3 linked regions of the Kluyveromyces lactis genome follow. The protein of the gene in region 2 purifies or fractionates together with the protein of the main gene of each other region. This does not show direct contact. Links are inferred from orthologs where the notes say so. Each region holds a gene or a part of one and is shown on either strand. Other genes may lie near its edges.

Evidence for each region.
Region 1: the proteins of TLG2 (region 2) and VPS54 purify together in Saccharomyces cerevisiae (affinity purification with western blotting, with the first as the bait; 3 studies listed by BioGRID). This does not show direct contact. The link is inferred for Kluyveromyces lactis from reciprocal best matches to the Saccharomyces cerevisiae genes TLG2 and VPS54.
Region 3: the proteins of TLG2 (region 2) and SEC17 purify together in Saccharomyces cerevisiae (affinity purification with western blotting; 3 studies listed by BioGRID, with this or other methods). This does not show direct contact. The link is inferred for Kluyveromyces lactis from reciprocal best matches to the Saccharomyces cerevisiae genes TLG2 and SEC17.

Annotation. Positions count from the first base shown.
Region 1 is NC_006042.1:415,022-418,787, forward strand, and holds VPS54 (Vps54p), read left to right. Parts: upstream 1-1,092; coding exon 1,093-3,633; downstream 3,634-3,766. Other genes in the region: RPI1 (protein phosphatase regulator REG1), read left to right, coding at 1-697. UniProt on the Saccharomyces cerevisiae protein: Involved in retrograde transport from early and late endosomes to late Golgi by linking the vesicle through the t-SNARE TGL1 to the Golgi, leading to the membrane fusion between late Golgi and endosomal vesicles.
Region 2 is NC_006037.1:927,079-930,219, reverse strand, and holds TLG2 (t-SNARE syntaxin TLG2), read right to left. Parts: upstream 1,658-3,141; coding exon 563-1,657; downstream 1-562. Other genes in the region: KLLA0_A10703g (uncharacterized protein), read left to right, coding at 1-343; ATP-dependent RNA helicase FAL1, read left to right, coding at 1,965-3,141. UniProt on the Saccharomyces cerevisiae protein: t-SNARE that functions in transport from the endosome to the late Golgi and on the endocytic pathway.
Region 3 is NC_006041.1:529,616-532,240, forward strand, and holds SEC17 (alpha-soluble NSF attachment protein SEC17), read right to left. Parts: upstream 1,680-2,625; coding exon 1,650-1,679; intron 1,428-1,649; coding exon 579-1,427; downstream 1-578. Other genes in the region: RPL43B (60S ribosomal protein eL43), read right to left, coding at 2,061-2,337. UniProt on the Saccharomyces cerevisiae protein: SNARE complex protein that binds to cis-SNARE complexes on membranes and is required for vesicular transport between the endoplasmic reticulum and the Golgi apparatus and for homotypic vacuole fusion.

The sequences.
Region 1 (3,766 bases), on a different chromosome or scaffold from region 2:
AAGATCACTCTCACTATCCAAATTTCCAAACGCAACTATTAAACCACTTCCAGCCACTACTCTAAACTACGGATCTGACGATGAATATTATGATGAAGACGAAAATGAATGGTATTATGGTAACGCAGTATCACACAATGTGAATACTAGCAGAGGATTTGACTACATGTATGATTATAATTCCGTTTACACGGGGGATACATCCAACTTTGTAACTGTGGACAATTCGTGTGATATCCTCGATGTACCGGATGGCATTGGATTAGATACTCCAATACAGGACGCGAATGACGGATATATGGATGATGACTCAAGAGGGAAAATATATACATACCATCAAAGCCTTCCGGTACAAGATGATAACGATGAACATCCGGACAACGAATTCATCGCAGATTCTTCCCAACCTGGTTTCAGTCATGATGACGAAGAGCATGACGATAACGGTGAAGAACTAGAGCTTACTGCAAAAGACCCACTATCATTAAGGCGAACCTCATCTATAGGGAAGTCTAGAGCAAATTCCATTCATGATTTTATCACACCTTCCAATTCTGCATCTCCTGTTTTAAAACAGACACATAGCTTCATCACTGGAGAACCTTTATCTCAACACAATTCGACGGTAAGAAGACCACCATTAAAATCTCCTTCATCGGGTAGCTTTTTATTTGGATCTGATTCTGATTCTGAGTGATCGCTCAAGTGCTCTTAGGTATATTCGGAGTTCATTTTTTTTATTGAGGTTAAACTTAAAAATACCACTCTACCAGCATATATATTTTTTTTTCACTACGTAAATAGTATTAATTAGAAGAACAACAATTTTTCTTGGTTTTATCCATCTGCGTAGATCTCTCGCTCAGCGCTTAATGCTTCTATTGATTAACTTGCTACGGTGTTTTATTTATGTTGAGAGAGTGCGCTTAATTATATACTCAAACTACCATGTTCACTTTCTTTTAGAAGTATCATTGAATATGTAAAAACTGAAAATCGATTAAAGTTCATATTGTAAACAGATACATACACCTTTAAGATGCATAGCAAAGAAAAAGCTGTTCCAACAGACTATAAACCAGCGAGTTAACTATGCCGGATAGGTTACTGGGAAGTGAGACACCAGCTCTATCTCTAACTCCTGATAGTAGGACGCAATTAAGTCGATCTCCACTATTGGTGCCCAGTCATGCCTCAGATGATGCTAGCTCGTTGAACGATGATCTATCTGTATTATCTAGAAACAGGGATCAAATAAGGGACAGTATGTCTATGAGGCGTAGTAGTTTTGATTCCACATTCAATTCTTTTTCTACAACGATGCATACCCAAAAACACGGTCTTGATTATTCACCGTTGGTTGATAATTCAATATATGAAATTGTGATGAACACCAGATTTAAAAGATGGTTGCGGCACCCAACCACCGAGGATATTCCCCCTGTAGTTCTAAGCAAGAACGATATTAAGGATAAATGGGACAAGGATATTAATCAATACAGAGATGACATTAAAGACGAATATAGGGTGTATCAATCGACAAATAATATATCAAAGTTGAACCGAATGGAGCAAATGAGATCTATTGATCATGATAAAACTGCCCTTGGATTGCAAAATACGAAAGCCAAGGCATTTGAAGAAATACCTGAATTCTATTTTGATAAGGAGTTCAAATTAGATCACCCCAATTTCTTTCGAATGCTTCTACGAGATTTTGAGTTTGATGCCAATCAACTACTAAATGATGATGATAAAGTTAGAAATGACAGCTATGAAGAGCTTCAAGGAAGATTGGCATTCTACTTAGATACTGTTGAGGGACTCCTTGTTTCTGAAATCTCCAAGTCTATACAAAGCTTTTTTGACGCTTTGGAAGACGTCGATAAGATTAGAGAAAATGCGACAGAGACAATCAACGAGTTGGATTCTGCTGCTGAGGCCCTTGAGAGGATAAATGGGGATAAAATCTCAAAAAGAATTGAGATGATTAAAGATCTCATAAGAAGGAAAAATGTGGAAAAGTTACAACAGGGGATCCTACAAGTAAAACTAGCGAAAGAAAAATGTGAAGAATGTAAAGAAATATATCAAGAAGAAAAACTACAAGAGTGTTTGAAATTGGTTAAAGCAGTTGAGAACTTAATAAATGGTGACAATGATGATCCCACTGTCAATGATTGGACCTCTCAGTGGCCGTACAAACTCACAAACATCTCAAGTTTTTCTAGTTTACAGGGCATAATAGACATGCTAAATAATCTGAAGGTTGACATCGGGGGATCTTACTCATTGAGTCTGGTTACCGTACTATTGGAAGATTTGAGGACGTATTCGAAGTCTCAATCGAAAAATGACACGATCATCAAATTGCAATCTAGGAAGGATAAGAACAAACCTCATTTAAAGATCGATGAGACCTTCCGAAAGCAAATCAAAGAAAATCTAATACAATTAATCGATTGTGATCAGTTGGTTCCGGCAGTGAAGCTATACGAGGATAAATTTATAGCAGAGTTGAAATCTGTTATTAAGGTTAATCTACCGCATGAGAGACAAACACCTGAAGAGTCGAAAGATGGCTCTAAACCAACTGCCGCCAATGGGTCAAGGCTATCAAAGTTGATTCAAGAACAATCATCTCAAGAGTTCCAATCAATGCTTGTAAATATATTCACTTCTGAAATCGAACTATTGAAGAGGTTAACGCGGCATCAGAAAATGCTATTAGACATTTCGCTAAGTGAATTACCGACAACGGCAGAGCAATCTGATAAGATGATTATTGATCTTGATATTCGGAAAAGCGTTAACGAGGGTATAAGGATAGTACAGCTTCGAATGGGGAAAATAATCTCAGTGAGACGGGATATCACATGTACATTACGTTTCGATCATTTCCTTCAGTTCTACGAGATATGCATGCTTTTCATGAGAGAGTGTGAATCTATAAGCGGTGAATTTCTAACGAAGTATCTTTCTGACGTATTGAACCTCCAAATCGATACATATTTGAAATCTTTACAAAATTTGAACATAAGGGTTTTGAAACAAAAGATCGATGTAGAGAGATGGACACCATTCATCGTCGAGCCCGAATTGCAAAAGGATGTCAATGATATTGTATCGTGTATTGACATTGATCCGTCAAATTGGACACGATTCATCGAGTTGAACAAACCTTCTCCATTAGACGAAACAAAGGATGAGAAGCAATCCTCTACCGGTCACAAAAAATCCGTTGTCTTAGGTGATAAGACATTCGTGGCAAGCGAGGCTCTAATCCTTGCCATCAAAATGATCAAAACTTTATTGGTACTCGCCTCAAACTTCCCATCACAGTATGCAAGACATTGCGAACGTCAATTGTCCGATGTCTTGAAATTCTTCAATACAAAGGCAATAGAATCTATATCATCATCACTGACAGACAGACTATCTACAAAGACAGATAAAAACTTGAATATCATGGCCGAATCACTTGATTGTCTAGCGGAAATAACGCTACTACTACAAGGGTATTTCCAACGTACGCTGGGATCTAAGACAGATAAGTACGAAAACATCTGGAAACAATTACAACAGTCCAGTGAGAAATTGTTCCAAACAAACAATATCCCGCCTCCTGTTTAAGACAAGTACTACCCATCGGGTAAACAGTTCACTGCGCATGATAGAATAGGTGATATCTCAGTTGTACTGAATATTTATGCATATATATTAGCAATATGAATCACGTGATAGTGTGGACTCACTATATGCGTCT
Region 2 (3,141 bases):
CGGGGGACAGTATTACCCTCCACTTCCTAACCAAGCAGGTCCGCAACAAGGATACTACCACCCTCCGCCACTACCAGTACAGCAACAACAACCACAACAACCACAACCTCCGTATTCGGCTGGTCCGTCTGCATCAGATTTCTTATTACAATCAAACCCTGAATTCTCCATCGGAACTGGTCCAGCATCATACGGAAATAGCCAAAGGAGTGCAGGGCTAAACTCCGCACCAGCATCTTCAATGCACTATAAACCTGCTTATAGGAAAAGGCTCCCAAGAAAAAATAACCTACCTCTGCATCCATGTCAAGAGACAGTCCCTATGGAGCATTTTAAGTTCTGATTGTAATATTCATACTGAAACCACTCACTTTTTAAACAAATTTATTCTATTTACTGTAACAGATAATATATAGACCTCCTCTCTAGTTAACTTTTTTGAACCTTTCTACTGTTACCAATTCGACAGTGGTCGTTTACTTCTATCACGATATCAAAATTTGTTTTCGAAGTTCGATGCAGTTTCTCCATCATAAGCAAGTTCATTAATATTTGACCATTTTTATTCTACATTACTTTCTGGATCCAGCAACGGGTCTCCATTAGGAGAATTGACCTCCACTTGTGATCCAGGAGGTTTGTGAGATTTTGAAGGAGCTGATTCTCGTATAGTATGGTGATGAGGTTTCAGCATGACAAGGAGGAATAACGCTAGAACGACCAAAGATAGAAATAGAATAATTTTACATTTTTGACTCCGTTTTTGGTAGTGCGTTGCCTTGTCTAACTCCTTTTGGGCCTGCTTTAATTCAATAACCGTGTTTTCTAAGTTATAATCGATCCTATCGACCACTGTACCTTGATCTATGATCAAAGACTGCATTTCCCTGAAAATAGTACTAACTTCGAGTACACCTTTCGCTAACTGTGTAATTTCCTCATCTCTTTGTTGCAAAAATTGCTGATTGTTATCCTGTAACTTCTGATTCTGTTTTTGTAAAGTCTGCTTTGAATATGAGTCGATGTTATTGACTTCATCTCCTTCAACTTCTTCCTCCAACAACATCAATGTATCGTTACTTGATTTCGTAGTGGGTAGTGGTTTGAAATCATCTTTATTCAAAAACTTCAAATGATTATTCTGTAATATTCTGAACTTCTGCGATTTGTCTTGCACTTTCAAAGCGTAGTTCTTTTCTAGGTTATCCAATATCCTTAACTCGTCCTTGCTTAGCTGCTTACCATTCGAATATTGAGAATCCTTAATTCTCGTAAGAGTCTTGATAACACCAAAACATTCTTGGAATCTCTTAATTACCTGGAAACTTATCTGCTCAATCTCCTCCTCATCCTGCTTATTGTCCTGGAATCCTGGTAAAGAGTTCTTTTGATATAGTTTCGTCAACTGTAGCAACAATTGATCTACTGCAGATAACGACTCATCCACTTGGAACGTTAAATCGAAAAATTTTGGCGGTAATTGACGGGAGAAATCATCCATAGCAACCATATCTTCATCATTGTTACCATCGTCACTACCAATGAATGGCTGGTTCTCCAAATCTTTATTCGATCGTAGATGCTTGGTACTCGAAAGCCTCTGATGGGGGAAAGTTCTCCTATAGGATAAAAACAAATTAGTTCTATCACGAAACATGGTGCAGTTCAAAAGCAAACAAGGGAAGAAAGCACGCACTACCACTAATCTGATCTAAATAATCACTAGATCGAGCCACTCGACCAGTTGTTCTGCAGTTATTTACATACACTTGTAATTTGACACCTTAAAGTGTTGTTGAACTTTCGGTTCTCAGCTTAAAACCTTTAAAAAATGGAAAATTTGGCAAGCACAACGATAAGATGAGATGCGATGAGATGCATTGAAATAGAGGCTGCAACGGTAGGTCCAAGTGAAGTGTAACCGGGAGTTACTGTTGTTAAGAAAGGGAATCATCACATCAACAATGTCGTTCAACAGAGATGATGACTCGAAGTTGAAGTTTAAGACTTCAAAGAAGCTCAAGGTATCTGCCACTTTTGAGTCGATGAACTTGAAACCGGATTTGTTACGAGGCATATATTTTTACGGCTTTGAATATCCATCATCCATTCAGTCTAGAGCCATTTCTCAGATTATCTCAGGAAAAGATGTGATTGCCCAGGCACAGTCTGGTACCGGTAAGACGGCCACATTTACCATTGGATTATTACAAGCAATTGATTCTAAGAGCAAAGAGTTACAAGCATTGGTCTTATCACCAACAAGAGAACTAGCGAGTCAAAGTGAATCTGTGATATCTAACCTAGGAGACTATTTGAACGTTACAGCACATGCGTGCACAGGAGGTAAGGCCTTACAACAAGATATCAAGAAAGTATCGAAAAATTGTCAAGTGGTCAGTGGTACACCGGGCCGTGTACTAGATATGATCAAGAGACAAGTATTGAACGTTAGAAACTGTAAGATCTTAGTTCTCGATGAAGCAGATGAACTACTCGGAGAAACTTTGGGGTTTAAACAACAAATCTACGACATTTTCACCAAGTTACCACCGACGATTCAAGTCGTGGTGGTAAGTGCTACAATGAGTAAAGATATATTAGAGATCACCAAGAAGTTCATGAGTGACCCGGTGAAGATATTGGTTAAGCGGGATGAGATATCCTTGGACGTGATAAAGCAATATTATGTGGATGTAGAAAAGGAAGAATGGAAGTTTGATACACTCTGTGATCTATACGATTCGTTAACGATAACACAATGTGTGATATTCTGTAATACAAGGAAAAAAGTGGATTGGTTATCCAGGAAGTTGACACAGACGAATTTCTCTGTGTCCTCAATGCACGGTGACATGAAACAGGAAGAACGTGATCAAGTGATGAATGATTTCAGGAGTGGAAAAGCCAGGGTGCTAATATCGACAGACGTGTGGGCTCGTGGTATCGATGTCCAGCAGATCTCATTGGTGATAAACTACGATATACCAGATAATCTAGAGAACTATATCCATCGTATTGGTAGATCCGGACGGTTTGGACGTAAAGGTGTTGCAATAAATTTCATCACGAAGGAGGAAAGACCCAAATTGAAAGAGATCGAATCGCACTATAGAATTAAGATCAAACCAACTCCTGCAA
Region 3 (2,625 bases), on a different chromosome or scaffold from region 2:
AGGTTTTCATTCTTTTGATTTCTTTTCTTACACTTGCATACTTTTTTTACGGAAAGATGCGAAAGGGTCCTCTTATCTGAACGTTTTAGAGATCATGTTACCCCTCAGTTGATGTGTTTTCATTCATCTAGTGATATTATCAATCAACTGCCTTTTGCGTAGGCTCATCTAGTAGATTTGCTGAGGAAGTATCATCATATTCATTAAAAATTGTACCAGCATTCTGAAATATTAGGTTTGTTTCTTACCGTAAGAAGATGTAAAAAATTGTGATACATTTCTTACTTAATTGTATATTTATTCAAAACGGTAAGGGAGCCGTTCGTCAGAAGCTTAAAAAACATTTTCGTTACCATTAACATCTTCAAAATTTCCAAACGTCCAAGCCAGATGGCAAGCTTATTTGCATCGATATAGTTGATAATGGGAAATGAAAGACGTTAACGTGAAACAAACCACTCGATGTGGTTGTACAAATGGGTATACACCATTTATAAAATAATTATTCCACCAAAAAAGTGACAGTTGTGTTAGAGAAAAGAATACAATTACAAGAGAATGAGTTGAATATTACCATTTTATAGTAGATCGTCATCCGCCTCGACGATTGTATTTTTCACCTTCAAGAGTATAGTTGTTTTCCAATGGTCTAACTTATTGAACCTATCATATTCGTAGATCTTTTGCGATAATTTTTCAGTATCACCTTCCCTTACAGCTTCAATTACGTTTGATAGTAACTCAAACTCCCTTGATTGAGAGAATGATGGATCCAACGATTGTGATTCGTTCAAACTTTTATCTGCAGCTACAACATCACCAGCAGCAAGGTAACATAGGCCAATCTTCAATAAGTACTCTTTGAGCGACCACTGGCTTAATTTATTCCCCAATGAATTTTCAACGACTTTCTTTAAGATCTCGGTAGCTTCCAAATAATCACCGTTCAAAGCTTTCAAATCGGCGCATTTAATGTAGGATTTATTCGAGAGAGCAATAGCTTGGTCTTGCAAATACCAATCACCAGCTGTTTCATAATTGGCAATGGCACTTGGGTAATCCTGTAATTGCTGTTCTTGTAATTCAGCCAATTCGAATTTGAAGTTGGCACCTCTTCTAAACTGACCTCTTCTTGTGAAAATATCTATCGACTTGGCTAAGGACTCAGCAGCTTGTGCTGGAGAAGATCCTGTCTTGAAACACTTGTAGGCTTCGATATACGTATTTCCTGCTTCATCTTCATTAGAAGCCTGTATTTGACACTCTGCTGCCCTCAAGAAAGTATCACCCGCTTGATCCAACTCCTTTCTTAGCCTATAGAGGTTTGCAGCCTCGATATAAAGATCTGCTGCTTCTTCGTAACGGTAAGAGTCTGAACCGCTAAGGAAACTGAAAAATCCTGATGATGGTTTAGCCTTCTTTTCGGCCTATTACAAAAATGACATGAGATATGTTTCCATACCATTAAGTGAAAAAGAGAGAATACGAATGATAAATCACTTCCTCTTTCATCACATTATGGCTAGGGTTTGCATATGTTTATTGTTAGTATTAGGGGTTCAGGCGAGAATAAGGTCAACCATTGTCATCATACTTTCCTAGACTTATTGATTTGACCTTTCAACATAAATGATGGAGAAAAAACGTACCTTAGCTATAATTTCTTTAACATCCGACATATTCAAAGAAAACCTGAGTGGGATATGGCTGAATGCTGTTAACTTTTGTCAACCAAGAGCTTGCTTACAACTTTTACTATCAAACTATCAACATTGTATCATCATTACATGTTACATATTCTAATTACCATCAGAAAGTAAAGAAATTCCTTAAGGGGAGAAACAACGGAAGGCTATCAGCAGCCGGGTAATTAATTCACGTGACTTTCAAATAGGCTGGCCTGGGAGCCGGTCCAAGGTATTTGGCTGGACGCGAGGATGAACACTCGACCATCACGCCTAAATCAGTTATATAGGGTAGATGGAATATAAAATAACACAAAGTGGAAAGATACGTTTTATTGAAGGATACTTATAACATGATTATACGATGCAACAAGCTTAAGCTTCAGCCATGTCTCTCAATCTTCTGATGGTAGATCTGACGGTAGCGGCAGCGGCGGTAGACAAAGTGTAAGCACCACCAGCGATGGTTCTGTTACAAGAAGAACAAGACCAGACACCAGCAGCACCTCTCTTAACACAAGTCTTACCACAGAAAGAACAGTTATAAGTGGCGTGTTGTTGAACTTCCAACTTCTTAACTTGTCTTCTCAAAGAGGAACCGTAACGGACACCGTACTTACCAGTGATACCAACCTTCTTAGTTCTTTTAGCCCTGAATATAAAATGAATTGTGTATTCATTACGTCCGATTCCAATAGTTCGATTCAATTTGTTCACATAATGGGTGGTAATGAATCGATACCACAGGTAGAATGGGTAATAACACAGATATAAAAGTTAGTAAAATTGTTGCAATTAAAGGAACAACAGTTTTTTTGGGGGAGGAGGTCTAATAGATCGTCATTTATTCTGCTGTCGTGCGTGTGGAGCTGACACTATAAATCATCACACTGGAATTTTGCATCTAGCTGTAGTTTCTTGTGCTTATGGTATAATTCCA